Linked DNA regions of Arabidopsis thaliana. The protein of the gene in region 1 interacts with the protein of each later gene in a pairwise test. Each region holds a gene or a part of one and is shown in the gene's direction. Other genes may lie near its edges.

The links.
Region 2: the proteins of AT1G22490 (region 1) and AT5G61590 interact in a two-hybrid assay, tested with the Arabidopsis thaliana proteins (one large-scale study listed by BioGRID).
Region 3: the proteins of AT1G22490 (region 1) and AT3G20640 interact in a two-hybrid assay, tested with the Arabidopsis thaliana proteins (one large-scale study listed by BioGRID).
Region 4: the proteins of AT1G22490 (region 1) and B70 interact in a two-hybrid assay, tested with the Arabidopsis thaliana proteins (one large-scale study listed by BioGRID).

What each region holds. Positions count from the first base shown.
Region 1 is NC_003070.9:7,938,057-7,942,826, reverse strand, and holds AT1G22490 (basic helix-loop-helix (bHLH) DNA-binding superfamily protein), read left to right. Parts: upstream 1-2,201; 5' UTR 2,202-2,337; coding exon 2,338-2,775; intron 2,776-3,241; coding exon 3,242-3,784; 3' UTR 3,785-4,230; downstream 4,231-4,770.
Region 2 is NC_003076.8:24,763,698-24,767,589, reverse strand, and holds AT5G61590 (Integrase-type DNA-binding superfamily protein), read left to right. Parts: upstream 1-2,078; 5' UTR 2,079-2,331; coding exon 2,332-2,937; 3' UTR 2,938-3,334; downstream 3,335-3,892. Other genes in the region: ERF104 (ethylene response factor 104), read left to right, coding at 222-947; PFK4 (phosphofructokinase 4), read right to left, coding at 3,763-3,892.
Region 3 is NC_003074.8:7,209,606-7,215,290, reverse strand, and holds AT3G20640 (basic helix-loop-helix (bHLH) DNA-binding superfamily protein), read left to right. Parts: upstream 1-1,816; 5' UTR 1,817-2,091; coding exon 2,092-2,321; exon of another isoform or gene 2,322-2,373; coding exon of another isoform or gene 2,374-2,417; coding exon 2,418-3,105; intron 3,106-3,188; coding exon 3,189-3,305; intron 3,306-3,697; coding exon 3,698-3,760; intron 3,761-4,000; coding exon 4,001-4,066; coding exon of another isoform or gene 4,067-4,075; exon of another isoform or gene 4,076-4,182; coding exon 4,183-4,233; coding exon of another isoform or gene 4,234-4,245; exon of another isoform or gene 4,246-4,487; coding exon 4,488-4,637; 3' UTR 4,638-4,981; downstream 4,982-5,685.
Region 4 is NC_003075.7:11,351,123-11,355,485, forward strand, and holds B70 (basic helix-loop-helix (bHLH) DNA-binding superfamily protein), read left to right. Parts: upstream 1-1,835; 5' UTR 1,836-1,941; coding exon 1,942-2,192; intron 2,193-2,287; coding exon 2,288-2,507; intron 2,508-2,595; coding exon 2,596-2,694; intron 2,695-2,829; coding exon 2,830-2,895; intron 2,896-3,030; coding exon 3,031-3,096; intron 3,097-3,193; coding exon 3,194-3,250; intron 3,251-3,359; coding exon 3,360-3,506; 3' UTR 3,507-3,702; downstream 3,703-4,363.

The sequences.
Region 1 (4,770 bases):
GAAAAAACATCTCTTTAAACGTCTGCATCAAAAACAAAACTCTGCTATGATCGATAGAAAATAAATATCACTCGTGCGAAAATATCTACATGTTAAACGATGAACTAAAATGATTAAAAAGTAATAAACATAAAGGATGATCGAAACAAATTTTTAAATATTAAATAATAATCGACCAATTAATTTTGAGTTTGATGATGTACAAATAACATTAGGTACACGTATTCAAAGGAGACAAGATTACTATAGCTTAAATTCAATTTGAAGTGCATACAACAAGATTCTTTGTATCATCATGAAAAGTTTGTCCTGCAGTTTTATGTTCACATATTATTTATTTTTTCGGCAAATTGGTTCAGATTTTAAGATTCCAAGTGTCCGACCAAATTTGATTACAAAACGCAGCCTAGTCACATCTATCTAATTCTTTAAATTTTGTTTTCATATCAAAATTGATTTCTACTATTATATATTCCCAGAGTGATTAGATCAGAATAATCAAAAGATGCCACCTAATTTATATACATAACTTTTTTGGTTTTTGATGTTGAAAAGTAGTGACAAAAGATTTTTAATAGACCATCATTTTATAACATGCAAGTAAATATCTCGATTTAAATATATTTTTAATAACATCACGAAACAAATTTGTTAAAACCTGACATAAAGTGATCCCCACCGGCCAAAATAAATCTTCTATTGGTTGTGTATTTTCTGACAAACATTTGTTTTAAAGATTTTTAATTTTAATCGGATACTTAACCATATATTTGATATGGAAATACATTATATTTTTGTTTAAAGTAAAATAATAGAACATGAGTGTAACTAGACGACCCCCAACCTGCAAACAGATTATTTGGTCTTGTGGACTGGTCTACTACTATCTCACGTGCAAACTTGACGCTGCAATGTATACATTTATCTATATGCATCTATGTATCTAAATAGTAATTAGTAACCATAGATAATGGATCTAATTCCACGAAGTTGGATAGATATTCTAAGGTAATATCTGGTAGAATTTTAATTTTCAAACCAAAAAAATTGTTACCAGATGTGAATGCGTAGAACTAAAAATTAATTGGCGTAGACCGTCCTAACTGGAAACTCAAATAACTTTGTTTACAAGTAGCATGTAACTGTATATATATAATGCTTTAGAATTTTTATGGTCCAATTGAAAATTTCACATTTTCGTTTTATTGTATCACTCACTTGTCCGACTGACGTAGAATTGCACGTCTTAATTTTTTTTTGGCGAAAACGCTAATCCGCAACAAAAAAATTTGTTAAAGTAGTCCGTAACTTTTTTTTTGGTTAAAGTAATCCGCAACATGACATATTAGTACTAACGAACTATTGTTTTTTCTATTAATTTTTTGCTATATTTAGAATTTTAAGTAGTTTAGCCATCACCATCTGTGTATCCTTACACTATACATATTCGGAAAAACTCGAAAGAGGTTTTAACTGGTTATGATCACCACCAGCAGTCCAGCACCAGTTTTCTTTCACTCGAACGTCAATATAAATTCACTGCCCACTATATCAGCTTTACCATTTCTTAATAAATTATTTATTATTTATTTGATTTTGAACTAAGAAAGATTATGGGTTTTTAGGAATAGTTCCAAACAATTAACATCTTAATAATAAAATTACTATATAATAAAACTAATTTATATTAAAAACATTATGAACAATTTTTTTCTTTATTTTCTTAACCTCTAATTATTATGAACAAGTTATTTAAATACAATTGGGATGATTATTACAAGTGCACTTTATATCTCCTTTTCAGTGTTTTTTATATATATATTGGTGACAAATACATCTTTTCTTTAGTTTTATTTTTCTTTTCGTTTTTGATCTCTGCGGGAGCATTTATTTTTGGTCAACTGTGAGAGCATCAAAAAAAAAAAAAAAAAAATTAATAGCCTCACAAAGCTTCTCTCAATTCCCTTTTTAAATAAATCACACCACTTTGTTTGATCCTCATATTTCGGTTTTCACTCTCATATCTTTCTTTTGTATATTTATTTTTGTTGAAGATTCACTCTCCTATTCTTCCTCCATGCCGGTGAGTTCTTGAGAATTTAATATTTTGTAAATCAATTTACAAAAAATCTTCATATAACTAATACCATGCTTAGTTTCCTTTAGTGGGCTTAACCCTTTTGCCTTTATTTCCCCCTCGAGACAAAAAGGAGAGCGACAAACACTTCCTGTCTAAATTTTGTTTTCTCTCCTTCTCTCTCCCTCTCTCGGTTTCTCAATCTTTCTTATTTTTTCCATAATTCTGAATTTTTCTTTTCAACAATCTCCGGCTAAAAAATGCCCTTAGAGGCTGTCGTATACCCGCAAGATCCATTCGGATATCTCTCCAATTGCAAAGATTTTATGTTCCACGACTTATACTCTCAAGAAGAGTTCGTAGCTCAAGATACGAAGAACAACATTGATAAGTTAGGGCATGAACAGAGCTTTGTGGAACAAGGTAAGGAGGACGATCATCAATGGCGAGACTATCATCAGTATCCTTTGTTGATCCCTTCGTTGGGAGAAGAGCTTGGTCTTACCGCCATTGATGTGGAGAGTCATCCTCCTCCACAGCACCGGAGGAAGAGGAGGAGAACGAGAAACTGCAAGAACAAGGAAGAGATCGAGAACCAGAGAATGACTCACATCGCCGTCGAGAGAAATCGCCGGAAACAGATGAACGAGTATCTGGCTGTGCTCCGTTCTCTAATGCCGTCGTCGTATGCTCAAAGAGTAACTTACTAATTCAATGTTTATATATGCTATATATCATTTGGTCAGGGTCATTCTTAGGTATATGTGTCTTTGTTTTATTACTTGCTTGGCTGTAGTACTCATTTCTCCATAATATATTAACACAAAAGAATAGAATGAAAATGACTGAGAATATATATTGATGTTTTTATACAATATATTAACAAGAAAATCCACCGTAAATATGGAAGGGTGACGCGTTTATATACATACTAATAATCTTTGCTGTTACATATTTTAATGTATTTTTTAAAATAAAATATTATGTGTCACCAAAAATTAGAACGAGTATGATTGAGAATATTGGGATATGTTTTAGAACAATTTCGTAATAAACTTAAGCAATTAGCAATGATACGTGTGTGTGTATATTTATACATTCAAAGATTTTTTCAATCTTTATGATAACTATATGATCTGACATGAGCGGGTTTTGGTGGTAAAGGGAGATCAAGCGTCGATAGTAGGAGGAGCTATAAACTACGTGAAGGAGTTAGAGCATATTTTACAATCTATGGAGCCGAAGAGAACTAGGACTCATGATCCCAAAGGAGACAAGACTAGCACTAGCTCGTTAGTGGGTCCATTCACAGATTTTTTCAGCTTCCCACAATATTCTACAAAGTCATCATCAGATGTACCGGAAAGCTCATCTTCACCGGCGGAGATAGAGGTTACGGTGGCAGAAAGCCATGCGAACATCAAGATAATGACGAAGAAGAAACCGAGGCAGCTTCTTAAGCTCATAACTTCTTTACAAAGCCTAAGGCTCACTCTTCTTCATCTCAATGTCACCACTCTCCACAACTCCATTCTCTACTCCATCAGCGTCAGGGTACGTACATTTTCAACTTCTCATCATTACTTTGTTTGCTTTTGGGGTAATCATGAGATTAAAGTGAGTAATGACTGTGTGTGTGGTGCATATGGTTTCACTTTGTTGATTTATTTTTTTGTCTCTTATTGTTGGGGGGAAATTTTGGATTAGTACTATTGTGGTTATGCCTGGGCTTTAAAAAGGTTGTGAAGAAAAATTAAAATCATTCTCTTTGTTTTTTTCTTACCTCCTTTGGGTACTTAGGGCTGGGGCCTCAATAGTTGTGGGTCAAACTCATAATCATCATTTTGATTATTATTTTTGTCAATAATAAATTGCGTATCTTAATCGTGCCTGTAAGAATCAGGGGACCAACCTAAAGAAACGAAACACGAATATGTGTCTATCTATATCCACGAATTGTATACGTGGTGTTGTGTATTTATATATGTTTATGTATATGTTTATGTACTGTGGATATATGTTCGGTGGTCACATAATTGTAGATGAGATATGTACGGACAACGAAGTGAGTCCACCATTTGTTTCAGGAGATATTTAGCAAATAGAAAGATATTTTGTTATAGTTATCTACATCCTTCTAATTTTGTTTGTTGCAACTTTTTTCAAGAATTGTTATGTATATCTTTATTTCTTAAGAGAAAATGTGTTGGTTCAGGTTGAAGAAGGAAGCCAACTGAATACCGTGGACGACATTGCAACAGCTTTGAATCAAACCATAAGGAGGATTCAAGAAGAGACATAATTCAGCAAATAGATTATAATTAACTTGTTTTATTTTTATTTTATTTTGAAATAACTGAAATCAGTTTTCTAATTTTTTTTTTTTTTCACTATTCCTCTAATCCTCCCTATGTAAGTTGCATTTTTGTCTCTTGTAATGAATCAATGGTCATAAAGATCTGAACAAAAAAATTGAATAAAAGAAAATGGTTTAAGTCGATAAGTATGTGACATTGGGCGCTAATAGCCGTTAGGCCTACGCCTAATGTACTTCTCAGTGTTTTTAGGGTTGTGTTTAGTGTATAATTATAATGATTAATAGTATGATTGATTAATTTTTGAATTTATTTTCTTCAAAGATGAATTCGTCTTTTTCTAGAACTTTTAAAGTTTGTGGGTTCAACTTTTAATCC
Region 2 (3,892 bases), on another chromosome or scaffold:
AAGAAAAAGGACGAAATCTAAAGAGAGAAAATAAGTAACAAGTCCAAGAAAAGGTAGTATGATCTTTCTCGGTCCGATCCTCGAAACTCCCTCGAAGGCTCGAACCCTCTCTTTGTTTTTTTACCACTATATAAGAAAGTCCGATTCCTCGTCACTCTTATTCCCACTTCCACACATACACATATACAACAGAGCAAGAGAGTCAATCAAGTAGAGTGAAGATGGCAACTAAACAAGAAGCTTTAGCCATCGATTTCATAAGCCAACACCTTCTCACAGACTTTGTTTCCATGGAAACTGATCACCCATCTCTTTTTACCAACCAACTTCACAACTTTCACTCAGAAACAGGCCCTAGAACCATCACCAACCAATCCCCTAAACCGAATTCGACTCTTAACCAGCGTAAACCGCCCTTACCGAATCTATCCGTCTCGAGAACGGTTTCAACAAAGACAGAGAAAGAGGAAGAAGAGAGGCACTACAGGGGAGTGAGACGAAGACCGTGGGGAAAATACGCGGCGGAGATTAGGGATCCGAACAAAAAGGGTTGTAGGATCTGGCTTGGGACTTACGACACTGCCGTGGAAGCTGGAAGAGCTTATGACCAAGCGGCGTTTCAATTACGTGGAAGAAAAGCAATCTTGAATTTCCCTCTCGATGTTAGGGTTACGTCAGAAACTTGTTCTGGGGAAGGAGTTATCGGATTAGGGAAACGAAAGCGAGATAAGGGTTCTCCGCCGGAAGAGGAGAAGGCGGCTAGGGTTAAAGTGGAGGAAGAAGAGAGTAATACGTCGGAGACGACGGAGGCTGAGGTTGAGCCGGTGGTACCATTGACGCCGTCAAGTTGGATGGGGTTTTGGGATGTGGGAGCAGGAGATGGTATTTTCAGTATTCCTCCGTTATCTCCGACGTCTCCCAACTTTTCCGTTATCTCCGTCACTTAAAACTTCGGAAAAGTCAACGTACGATGACGTTTTCACTTGCGTCACTCTCATGATTTCATTTATTCTTGTATAATATAAAGGTAGCGGTAGTGTGCAAATATCAAATAAGTAGTTTAATTAGTACCAATCATTTTATTCATTATTTTTTTTAGTAGAATATTTGGATGTTGAAAATATAAATTTAATTTTGTATTTGTTGATGTTATAAATTTATTGATTGTATAAACATTCTTAGTCATCAGTTTCGTTAAGTCCATATCTAAACACTTCATATCTGCTAAATAGTCAATAGATTATAAAATTGGATCAGGAAAAAGTAAATCGGAGCTATAAAAAAATAGTGTGCAACGAAAAGACAATTAATTAGTTAAAAATACATACAAATCTAAACAAATTCAAAATTTCAATAGTGGAAAACACCAATCAAATGGATAATGCTGTCGAAGATTATCTACAAAGCATCAATAAAAGTAAATAATTAATATTATCTTACATGCTATTATAAAAGATTATGAGATTAGGAGTATAATTGTCAAGCAACTGAGCAAGAGGGTAAGGTTTGGTTATTATATATGTGGAGCCCTATACGAAGTTATGTAGAAACAAAGAAATATCAAGTTGCTTCAAATCATATCCTAGCAAGACAACCCTACAAGACAAGCAATTTGATGAATTTGTCTCTCCTTTTTATTCGAGTGAAAGTCATTATCTTCTTATCTTTTTACTCGAATGTGAATATGCAAAATATCTTTTGATATTTAAGAGCTTACCTAGTGAGTCATTACTACTACGAAAATCATATATCAATCTTATCATAAAACTTTTAAGATAAAAAAAAAAAAGAAAAAACTTTTGAGAGATTGGCTTTTAAAGACTTAAGTTACGATTATAAACACTAGTAGTTCAAGTCTTTTTGGTTTTGGTTTGTGTTATGTTTTAGATTTAAAATTTCAAATGAACCTACGTCCTTAACCAACTCAATCAAAATTCTAGTTAAAAAAAATAATCACCATTTTGTTAGCATTCAGCTTAGGATTCGAACCATGGGTAGCTCAAGGTATTTTAAACTCTAGAGGAATAAAATGGATGTTAGTGAAATTTGTCAGCATCATAGACAAGATCAAGTTGGCACAACTTGAAGGGTCCTGACAAAATATCTTAAGTTGCCTCCATAAATGTTTAATGGATAAGACTTGGCCCCACAGAGTTAAACCAGAGAGACACAGAGAGAGACTTTTGACACCTCACCCATGGCTGCGTTAACACATGTTTAGGATTCCTTTCTTTATATAGCCAACAATATCATCAAAACTTTTTCTTCAAACACCACTTGCAGTTTTTCTTATTCTCCTGTCTTGTCTAAAGAAAAAAGAGAGAGGAAGAAATGGAGACTTTTGAGGAAAGCTCTGATTTGGATGTTATACAGAAACATCTATTTGAAGACTTGATGATCCCTGATGGTTTCATTGAAGATTTTGTCTTTGATGATACTGCTTTTGTCTCCGGACTCTGGTCTCTAGAACCCTTTAACCCAGTTCCGAAACTGGAACCTAGTTCACCTGTTCTTGATCCAGATTCCTATGTCCAAGAGATTCTGCAAATGGAAGCAGAATCATCATCATCATCATCAACAACAACGTCACCTGAGGTTGAGACTGTCTCAAACCGGAAAAAAACAAAGAGGTTTGAAGAAACGAGACATTACAGAGGCGTGAGAAGGAGGCCATGGGGGAAATTTGCAGCAGAGATTCGAGATCCGGCAAAGAAAGGATCCAGGATTTGGTTAGGCACTTTTGAGAGTGATATTGATGCTGCAAGGGCTTACGACTATGCAGCTTTTAAGCTCAGGGGAAGAAAAGCTGTTCTCAACTTTCCTTTGGATGCCGGAAAGTATGATGCTCCGGTCAATTCATGCCGAAAAAGGAGGAGAACCGATGTACCACAGCCTCAAGGAACAACAACAAGTACTTCATCATCGTCATCAAACTAATGGGGGAATAGTGATGTTTAATTAGTATATATAGGTTAATATCTTAAGTATGTGAAGCATCATGTATAGAGCCAAGAACCTGTTAGACTAGTGTACTGAAAAGAACTCTTGCAAAATATGTACTAAAGAGTTCCTGTAACAATGGAACTTCTGCGTTTTCTCTTGTCTTAAAGAGCTTAAGGTTCTAGAAACAAAGTTCTTGTCCTTTCGGTTTATTCAGAGTACACTATTTGGGAAGACAAGAGGACCTAAATCTATCGACTACATTTATTTATTAATCTACTGTGATACTTAAAATCGAATTTCTACCTGAAAGACCTTAACATAAGCCTTAAAGTTTCTCCAATGACACAAACAGTACCGTACAGTGGCTTCAGTATTCACTATTCGATATCACTGAGGTATTAATTAGTTCACATGTCCAGAAAGCGTGAATCAGTGAATTGAGTAGAAAGATGAACAAGTTGCAAGAGGGACCAAGTTTAAAGAATATAGCAGCCAGAGTTTTGTCTCATGGTTGGGTACAAGTCAGCATTCATTTTTTAAATATGACAAAGAATTGGATGGACCACACGCAACAGCTCAAGAGGGGAGAGATGCACAAGTTGCAATATGGAAAAGTAAACAGAGGAAGATATGTATTAACATCTCAACCTCATCGTTGAGATGGATGTTGATTATTATTATTAGGAATAACTAAAACCAAAGAATTCTTATAAGTTATAACAATGAAATTACTTCATGGTTTTTTGATAAAGATATCTCCTATGCATATATATCTAGTATACATTTGGAACAGTTGATGAATATCAACTGACCTGTTTCTTAGATAGAAGAGATCTTCATGTTATCGATCTTTTCTTGAGTTTCCATGTCGATCACATTCTGCAATGCTCCTTCACCAGTCAAGAAACTCGGTTGATTTGTCGATGCAAGGAGTCTAGCCCACATCCTA
Region 3 (5,685 bases), on another chromosome or scaffold:
ACAATTTGGAAACAAGTTTATTCCATTGTCGTCTATCGTTTTTTTTTCTCCTTGAGCAGTAACACTAGCTAGTTTTTGTAGTGCAGTAGTCAATGTATAGAGTAATGTTGTAAGCAATGCAATTGGATTTTGAACTATTTGACTTGGAGCAAATTAAAATGCGTAGATCATGATGAGTTAATCCATAGTGGTCTAATAAAAAATAGAGCTAAGCAGTAAATTCAAATAGTCACTACTCACGAGCTCAAGTTACATGGGTGAATTTGCAATGGAATCTTTCATTTTCTTGTAAATGTTGCACGTTAAAAAATGGTGGTATTCTTCTTCTTCTTCTTCAAATTATAAGATCACCAACTCAATGGAATGTTGCCGTGGAACTATTGTGTCTCCAATGGCAATCAACTTTTAATAAGTAAGTAATCGTTAGTACTTCGCTTGTAATGTTATTTTAGAGAAATGAACAATCAACACCCCCATTCATTTTTCTTGAATCAATGTAAACTTATATTCAACTCCAAAAAAAGTATTTTGTAAATTATATTCAACACCCCATTCTAAAAGGTAAATTACACCACCAAACCCACATTTTCGATTATTTTGGTTTGTAAACAATTATTCGAATGGTTTTATTTATAAATCGGGTAAGATGGATTCAGTAACTCCAAAATGATTCCAATGTATCTTCAATGAATTTAACATTACAAAAAAAAAAAAAAAATGATTCCAATGTATTAAGAATGTAATGTTTTAGACAGAAACAGGATCATGCAAACTGTAAAAAAAAAAAATTTGCGGTTGTAAGAGAAGAAAGTACGTATGTGATATATTGTTTGACTATATAGAAATTACAAACACTAATGCGAATATTAACAGCAAAATTCAATATCAATATATATGACTTCTTTTTTTTTGGTCGAGCTCGTTGAGAATTGGAAAATGAGAAGAGACAAACGTTAGGCAAAAGAAAATGATTAGGGAGACGACCAGTGAATAAAACACAAATTATATACAATTAATCTTCTAAAAAGTTAAGAGAGAAAATTACCGTAATTAACATTAAGAATAAAAGATGCCGAAAAGAAAAACAAAAAGATTTTTTAAAAAGAAAAGAAAAGAGAAGAGTCATATTCAGGCTCTGACTCTGAGACGAAACAAGTGGGGTCCAAGTGTGAAAGCACGCGCGCACGCCACGTGGAGCCCACTCGTTGACTTGCTGTGACTGGAAAAAAATAAACGCTGAAGTTTCATAGCCAAACTCAAAGGCCAAAATATTAAAATGAATAGAATTATTTTAAAAATATCTCAGTGGTTTGTGACTATGACTGTGACCGTGACTGTGACCCGCTCCTTCTAGTCCATCCTTGGTCTCTCTTGCTTAAAATAAGTCAAATCCATTTCAACCTCCTTTTTTATCCCAAAAATCTATCTACAAAGTCAATTTGTATTTCCTCATTAGCTAGTGTTTTACTTCTCAATGTGAAATACTTAAATCTAGATTTATTTTGTTTTCCTATCAAGTATCAATCATTACTAGTTAATGAATTAAAAGGTTGTTACATTTACATTCACTAAATTGAAGGATGTTAATACAAAATATATTTTACAAAATGTTGTTATTGTATCATTGCGAGTAGGGTGACCAAAAAATAAATTAAATTATAAAGAGTGATATAATATATGCTTGCAAAATGAATAAAAGGAAACTTTACCAAAATATAAAGGAAAGTAGGAGAAATGAAATACTTATTCTTTTTAGTTGTAACCAATGGAAAAATCAACAATATCTTTAGTAAAACAAAAACAGAAGTTGGGAATGACGTGGGCAAGAGAGTCAGCGAGAGCCACCTGAAAAAATGTCAACCAAACATTAATCGGATGTCTTCACTCTTCATAAATAGTTCACGAAAACCCTACCAGGAAAAAATATCCAATTTAAATTGATAAATATTTATAACTATAAGTATCTCTCTCGTGTGGATCCTCATCATTTCATGTAACCACAATCTGAGAAGACACAACAAATTAAGATCCAACATCAATACACACACACATATATATATATATATATATATAGTGAGAAAAAAAGAAGCTATGGGAGATCATCATGATTTCATCAACTCAGGAAGCTGGTGGAAAGTATCTTCTTCTTCTTCACCATCTTCTTCTTCTTCCATGAGAGCAAGCTCTATTGAATCTGGTGGTTCTGCTGTTTTCCATGATAAGCTTCATCATCATTCTTTAGCTACTGATCACCATCTTCAGATGATTGGTTTAGGACTTTCTTCACAATCACCTGTTGATCAATGGAACCAATCTCTCTTGTAAGTCTCAATTTTGTTTCTTTTTTTTTATTTGGTTTCAGTCATAAGATTTATGTGTTTTGTCTTTGTTTTCTTTTTCTTTGCGGGGAACAAAAGACGAGGAGATAGTAAAGCGGAGACAAGCTTTGGTGTGATGCTTCAAGAGAATCTCAATTTAGATGCCACTTCAAACGCAAACGCTAACACAACGTCATCCACATCTTCTTACCAGCTGCAAGAATCTGATTCCTCTCACCATCATCAAGCTTTGTGGCGAGATCCACAAAGCGATTTCAAACCGCAGATTTTAACGAGTGGTGGTAATCGCGGGTTTTTCTTAGATCATCAGTTCAGTCCTCATGGTAGCTCAAGTACCGACAGTAGCACAGTAACATGTCAAGGTTTCGCTGTTGACAACTCGTCAAACGCCATGTACGCAGCAACAACAACAACTCCTAATTCATCTTCCGGTATGTTTCATCATCAGCAAGCAGGTGGTTTTGGCTCTTCTGATCAACAACCGTCGAGGAATCATCAACAGTCATCTCTTGGCTATTCTCAGTTTGGATCATCCACCGGAAACTATGATCAAATGGCGTCAGCGTTACCATCGACTTGGTTTTTAAGATCTTCTCCGCCGCCAAAACCACACAGTCCTTTGAGATTCTCTAATAACGCAACGTTTTGGAACCCCGCGGCTGCGGGAAACGCCGGTGCTCCTCCTCCTCATGACGCGTCTTCTAACTTTTTCCCGGCGTTACAACCGCCGCAGATTCATCCGCAGAGTTTTGACGAACAACCAAAGGTATATATTTATAGCTACACGAACTACTTTATTTAGATTTATGGATATGATCTATATAATTTATATGTATTGGTTGGTCGTAGAATATATCGGAGATTAGAGATTCAAGTAGCAACGAAGTAAAGAGAGGAGGAAACGATCATCAGCCGGCGGCGAAAAGAGCTAAGAGCGAAGCAGCGTCTCCGTCACCAGCTTTCAAGGTATTTTGCTTTGTTGATATTATTTTTTAAATAAGGGGAAAATAAACAATAAAGCTTCTTTTTGGTATGAAAATAAAAGCATCTTTAACGACATTGAAATAAAACCAGCTTTCCATGGTTTTGCCAAAACAATCCGAATCTTTCTATTAAACAAAACCGAAACCCTAATTTGAACAATAAAATTAGGTTTATCATTTACCACCAAAGTATATGCATGATAGGATATTATGAAACATTCTTTTATTGCGAAGTTGTTTTATTTTATATCAAGAAAACAAACATTCTTCCCACAATTCTTGCATAATTGCTTATACTAGATCTCTTTAGTTTTTTTACTTCATAGTATTTTTTTTATAACAAGGATTTGTTTTGATAAAATTTTGCTGAATTAGAGGAAAGAGAAAATGGGGGACAGAATCGCTGCGCTCCAACAATTGGTTTCACCTTTCGGAAAGGTACTATCTCTCTCTCTCTCATTGTCTGCAAATTTTTGCTTTACCTTTCAGAAAGATGATGAGTGTGTATTAGTATATTTGTATACTGTCATTATTACTTATCATGTTATTGTTATTATATCTTTATGGATTTATTTTATATGTAAGGTCTATTTCAATAGATATTTATGTTGGAGATGAATGAATGATATACCATTTCTTAGATTTTGTTTTACTGAATCTCATGTGCTTTTGTGTCAGACTGATGCAGCCTCAGTGCTCTCTGAAGCCATTGAATACATTAAGTTCTTACACCAACAAGTTTCTGTAAGTTAGCCCACTCCTTCGTATTTTTAGTACACAAACATTTTCTGCTACAGTTTAGTTAGTTATTGTATTTCTTCTACTGATGTACAACAAACCTGCAAATGATTATAACTCAGGCTCTGAGCAACCCATACATGAAAAGTGGAGCTTCTTTACAACATCAACAGGTAATATTTTAATTATATAATTTTATGTATACATTATTAAACCATTATCATACTGTTATTATTATTATACCATTGAATAAACGTATGGCTCTCGTTCGCATTCTTTATTACATGTATTTAATATGGTTGCTTCATCTTTAAGATTGGACAATAAAGCATTATTCCAAGAAACAATGTAGCGAGACGGTTTTTGCAACGAAAAAAGAAATCATTTGCAACTTATATTTTTTCTTTGTTTTCTAATGATGATGCAGAGTGATCATTCCACAGAGCTAGAAGTATCAGAAGAACCAGATCTTAGAAGTCGAGGTTTATGCTTAGTGCCAGTTTCAAGCACATTTCCAGTGACACACGATACTACAGTAGATTTCTGGACTCCTACATTTGGTGGGACTTTTAGATAGATATATAGACGGAAAATCGTATATTAGATGTCGGGTAACGTACGTATCTTTTTTAACTTATAATATATACGTTGATTGCTGATAAGAATCACCGCATTTTTAAACGAAGAGGAGATAAGTTAATGGACAAGTGAAACGTGTTGTCCATTTATACTTCTTATTCATAGAACTAAAAAATAATGTGTAATTGAAGAACCATGCATAGATATATAAGAGCTATTGAGATTTGACATGTATTTTTTCACACGACCAAATTAATTCCAAACATATATCTATAGGTTTTTTTGGGGGGTTATAATAGTTATGTATGAAAGATAGATGTTTTTTTTTTTTTTTTTTTTTTTTTTTTTTAACATTACCTTCATTTATAAAACGAAATCGAATACACACCGCCTCCAAAACGAGTAACACCTACAAAACAACAAAGAAAAGTAAAACAAAGCATATGATCAAATAAAGAGACCGAACCAAGTGGCGAGGTACGATAAACCATTGGGGCCAATACGTTGAGCTCGTGAGAGAGGATCAAGATGAGTGCGAATAAGATTCTTTATCTCCATAATCAGTCCAGCAGCAGGTCTCGAAGAAGAAGTGTGCAGACGAGTGTTCCGTTCCCTCCAAAGAGTATAAACATTGATTCAGAGAAGAATAGATGTTATGTATGAAAGATAGATGTTAAGTTATTCGTTAGAGAAGAATGTAGGGATCTATAATGTAAGTATTGTCTTCATTGATTCAGAGAAGGAGAAAGGTGATTTAATTATGGAGAAAAGGAGCTTTTGTTTCTTCCTTTTTTTAGCTATTCTAATTTTTGAAAGGGAATAATTAGATTCCACGAATAAGAGAGAGTAATGTGTTAATATGCATATTTTGATTGGACAAGAGGAAAAAAATCTTGGGACAGATATATTTTTATAACTTTGGAATAATGTTAGTGGAAGTAAGATATGGCCCACAATGGTTTTTACTTTTATATCAGAAAGGTTCTTTATTGAACACTTGTTAAAGAAAAAAAAAGCATTTCATGCTTCCCAAAAATCCGCCTCCT
Region 4 (4,363 bases), on another chromosome or scaffold:
CATTTTCCTAACCTATTAACTATTTTTTTATAAAAATAATAATATACCTTTATCATCTCTGACTTTCCCTACTCCACGACATATTTGATTAACAATATAAAATAATTTATAGTTTCCACTCTCAATGAAATAAAACGATGGACCGTTTCCTCATGTCAAATGAATCAAATCAACAATCTCTATATAGTCTTAAGAATGTTGGTCTTAAAATTCTATTGAACTCAAATCGTATGAAAACAAGTTAAATTGTATATAAACAGAAAAACCAGTGAAGGTTGATTAATTAATAATTTACTTGGTTAAATTCTTCTTATTGAAGTTGGTGTACTGTAACCTAAGTCACTCGAAGTCTACAAATATTTAATATATCTATTGACTAAAAATATTAAAATAATTTGCTGAGTCAAACCATATGACATGAGCACATATTTTGGGAATCTTTCTAAATTTAAAGATCAAACCTAAAATAACCCAAATGGATTGGAGGGGACGGTCTGACTTAATCCATTTATACATTTATACAGTTGTTTGTTAGTGATTATATCCGAATATCAACAATTCATTTTAATAAATTTCAGAAAGTAAAAATATATATTTTAATCATGTCCATTACAAAACAAAAATTATAATTAAAGAAAGTCTTCATTCTTTGGTGAATGCATATATGGTATACGTCTTATTAACTACTTCTTTTCAAATAGTTGTATTAATTTATATTTTCTGTTCAATTAGGGAAAAAAAACTTATTTCGATAACTCTCTTTTTGTTGTCATATCCATATATAAAGCACAATGAAACTCAATTAAGTGTAATCCTAATTCCTATAAGTTATGATATCATTTGGAGAGGCTTGAAGCAAAACCAATAAGCTATTTTCTCCAAAGAGCAAGATTGATCTAAATCCATATATTTCAAAAAAAATTTGTTTACAATGTAAATCCATATTTGTTTGAAGTTTTTACATTTTTTTTTAAAGAGTCGACACGTAGGTCAGATATGCGCACGTAACTGTGTACAAACAAAAGACGTCCGGAGTCGTATAGATCAAAACGAGGCCAGCCAACAACTACCCTTTTGCGATGGATTTGGTAACGCTGACTTTCTTTTCCTTGTACGTATTCATCGACCATCCCAAAAATGAGATTATTTTTTGGACGACAAACATATTCTTTCTATATTGACATATATAACTGTGACGTCATTTTTGTTTTTAATTATTTGAATCAGTAAACCCCCAAAACAGTAGTTAATAAATATGCATTGCTATACAAATATACAATTTGCAAGTAAAATAAATACCATATCCGTACGATGACTTAATTAAAAATATATTCACATTATTTGTTTAACTAAAATTTTATTACTTTTTTCCCCTTGACAAGTTAATACTTCAACTGCGTTCAACACATAAAAATAAATAAATAAATATATATACTTCAACATATATCAAACATTTTAGTATTACCATCCCATATCAAAGAGTAAGAAAAGTAGTAATTATGATGATAGTAAGAAATTAACTCTGTTTTACAATGTTTGAGAAGATAGGGTCACAACTCACAAACTCACATGTACATCAAAGTTTTTATTTGATTAACCAAAATCAAAACTAAACTTTACATTGTACGTACGTTGGTAAAAAAAATTTGTCATCTTTTAATTACTTAATTTGCTTGACCTAACTTCCTATCGACTACTCTGATAAACATACATTATCTAAATAATTAATAGATTAATTAGGGAAGTACCAATAACATATAAAACTCTTGTACAAAACTTTTTTTTAACAAATATTATAACTTTGTTAGTTGACTTAAACCTCATCGCTACATATAAATACAATCCCCATCATCAACATCATTACTGTCTCATGCAAACTCTGACACTTACGAAGAAATAAGTCTACACAAACTAAACCATTGTCTACGTAACCAACAAAACATGACAGAAGAATTCGACACTACGGGAGTTTGTACCGGAACATGGTGGAGCTCCTCCAACGGCATGTTCTCAGGCTGTTCTCTGCCACGTTCCGCGGAGATTGTTGTCGATTTTGGTGAGATTGAATGGCAAAACATTGATACCCTTGATGCCAAAACTTACAACGAGAACTACCTTAGTACTTCCACATTCTTAGGCAATGCAAATCTTGATACCACATCACAAATCTACGTTTCGAGTCCATCTAACATGTAAGTCCATTTATCATCTTACGTGACGTATAACGTAAAATCATGATCTTTGTTCCTGAATCCTGACATTCTTTTTCTTTTCTCTTTTTTACCAGCCATGAAGAAGAACGATACAATCAGATAAATAGTTTTCTAGAAGGATTGTTTGATTCTAGTGAGCAATTATTGGTTCCTAACTGTCCCAAACCAGAACTATTCGAAAGCTTTCACTTCTTTGATGACGTTTTCCCGAACGAATCAAGAATGATATCAGTATTTGATCACCAAAAACCCAAGGAAGACATGCAAGCTTGCAAGAGTCTGACTACATGCAAGGTGGGCAAATCTATTTAATTAGTTTCTTTTAATAGAGATATTTTACAATATTTCTGTAGATTTTGACATTGTGACCAATTATTTTTAGAGAGCAAGTGAGAAAAGTGGAGAACTCGAAGATATTGAGTCATCACAGCCATTAAAAAGGCCAAGACTTGAGACACCATCTCATTTTCCGAGCTTCAAAGTTAGTAACAAATGATCTTACTACAGTTTTCAAGGATTGTCATTTATCACTAAAAAAAGTTAGTTATGCTAAGAAACACATACCCATGCACAAACTATTGCTGATATTTTTCCAAAAACTATTTTGATTGATAAGGTTCGTAAAGAGAAACTCGGAGATCGAATTACCGCGCTTCAACAGTTAGTTTCACCCTTTGGCAAGGTTTGTGTTCATCATGAATTCATGATCTGTTATATTGATATCTCTACTATATATTATCCATACATAATTACGAAATTTTTTTAGCTACTTCTGTTTTCAAATTTATTTATTATTATTTTGTGATGATTTTTACAGACAGACACTGCTTCTGTCCTCCATGATGCTATAGATTACATCAAGTTTCTACAAGAACAAATCACTGTAAGTTGATAATCTCTCAAATATGAAATACTACTACTAATTAATTGTTGGTTTTAGTTAACTGTTATATTTATTCTTTTTATAATCATTTAAATAGGAAAAGGTCTCTACTAGTCCACACCTGAACTCTATAGGATCTGGTGAACAGAAGCAGGTACTTAACTTAGTTAACGGTTAAACAACTCTATAATCTAAAATCAATTAAGTAGTTTGATTTTTGTTCTTTTGCTTATGATCATTAATAAGATTCTTTCAATTTCTAGTGGTCAGACAAATCAAGCAATAATACTCATAATCAAAATTGTAGTCCAAGACAAGATCTTCGAAGCCGCGGTCTTTGTCTGATGCCGATCTCAAGTACTTTCTCCACTCCTCCGCAGCATTTGGACACATCTAGTTTGTGGAATTAGACTCTTATACTGAATCAAAAATGTAACATTAGTACATTACACATGAAAACTCATAGATTAGTTTTGTTCTAAGAACTGTAAAGTCTGGTGTTAATTTGTGTATAAAATGTGATGTCTCGTTCCATTACTTCCTACAAATTTAGAGCCTACTTCGTGGAATGGCCGAAAGATTAGATAATTTGTGTTTCTTTTTTTGCTGTTTTATCAATCAATACTATTTTATTGAGTATGTTCACTTTTTCTGTTATTTTTTTATTTTTTGGTAAACCACTTATTCTGTCATATTAAAGACAAAAAATTTTTAAAAAAATTGGTCTTAATTTAATGATTTATTCTCACAATATCGTGATTCCACTACACATTATTTAATTTCCACACTCTGTAATAATACCAGTCACAGTCAGAATCTTATAAAGGTATATAGAATATTGTGGATTTTTAAAAAGGATTAGGAAGACAAATTAGATGATTTTTTGTCAACTATAAATTAGGTAATTAATATCTCCATTAAGGAGATCTTTAATTAGAAAAACAATCACTTTAATAAAGCAGCTCTTTTCATAGTACTCAAAGGCTACACACGACTCTGTCTTGTTTTGTTTGTGTGTCCTCAAATCAAGGCATATGATTGAATAAGAAACATAAAGCAGTGATATTTCAGCACTGTTTTCTATAAAAAAAAGAGCACGAGTGTTAAAAAAAAAACAAATAACCCATCTTTTTGTGAAGGAACATTAAATCATTGTGGAGAGAATTCAACAGAGACCATGTGCTTTTGGTACGAGCACGCCACAACTGAATTGAAAACAAAAACCTAAATCGAGTAGACATGGAATCATAAAGTACAGTTACTGGTT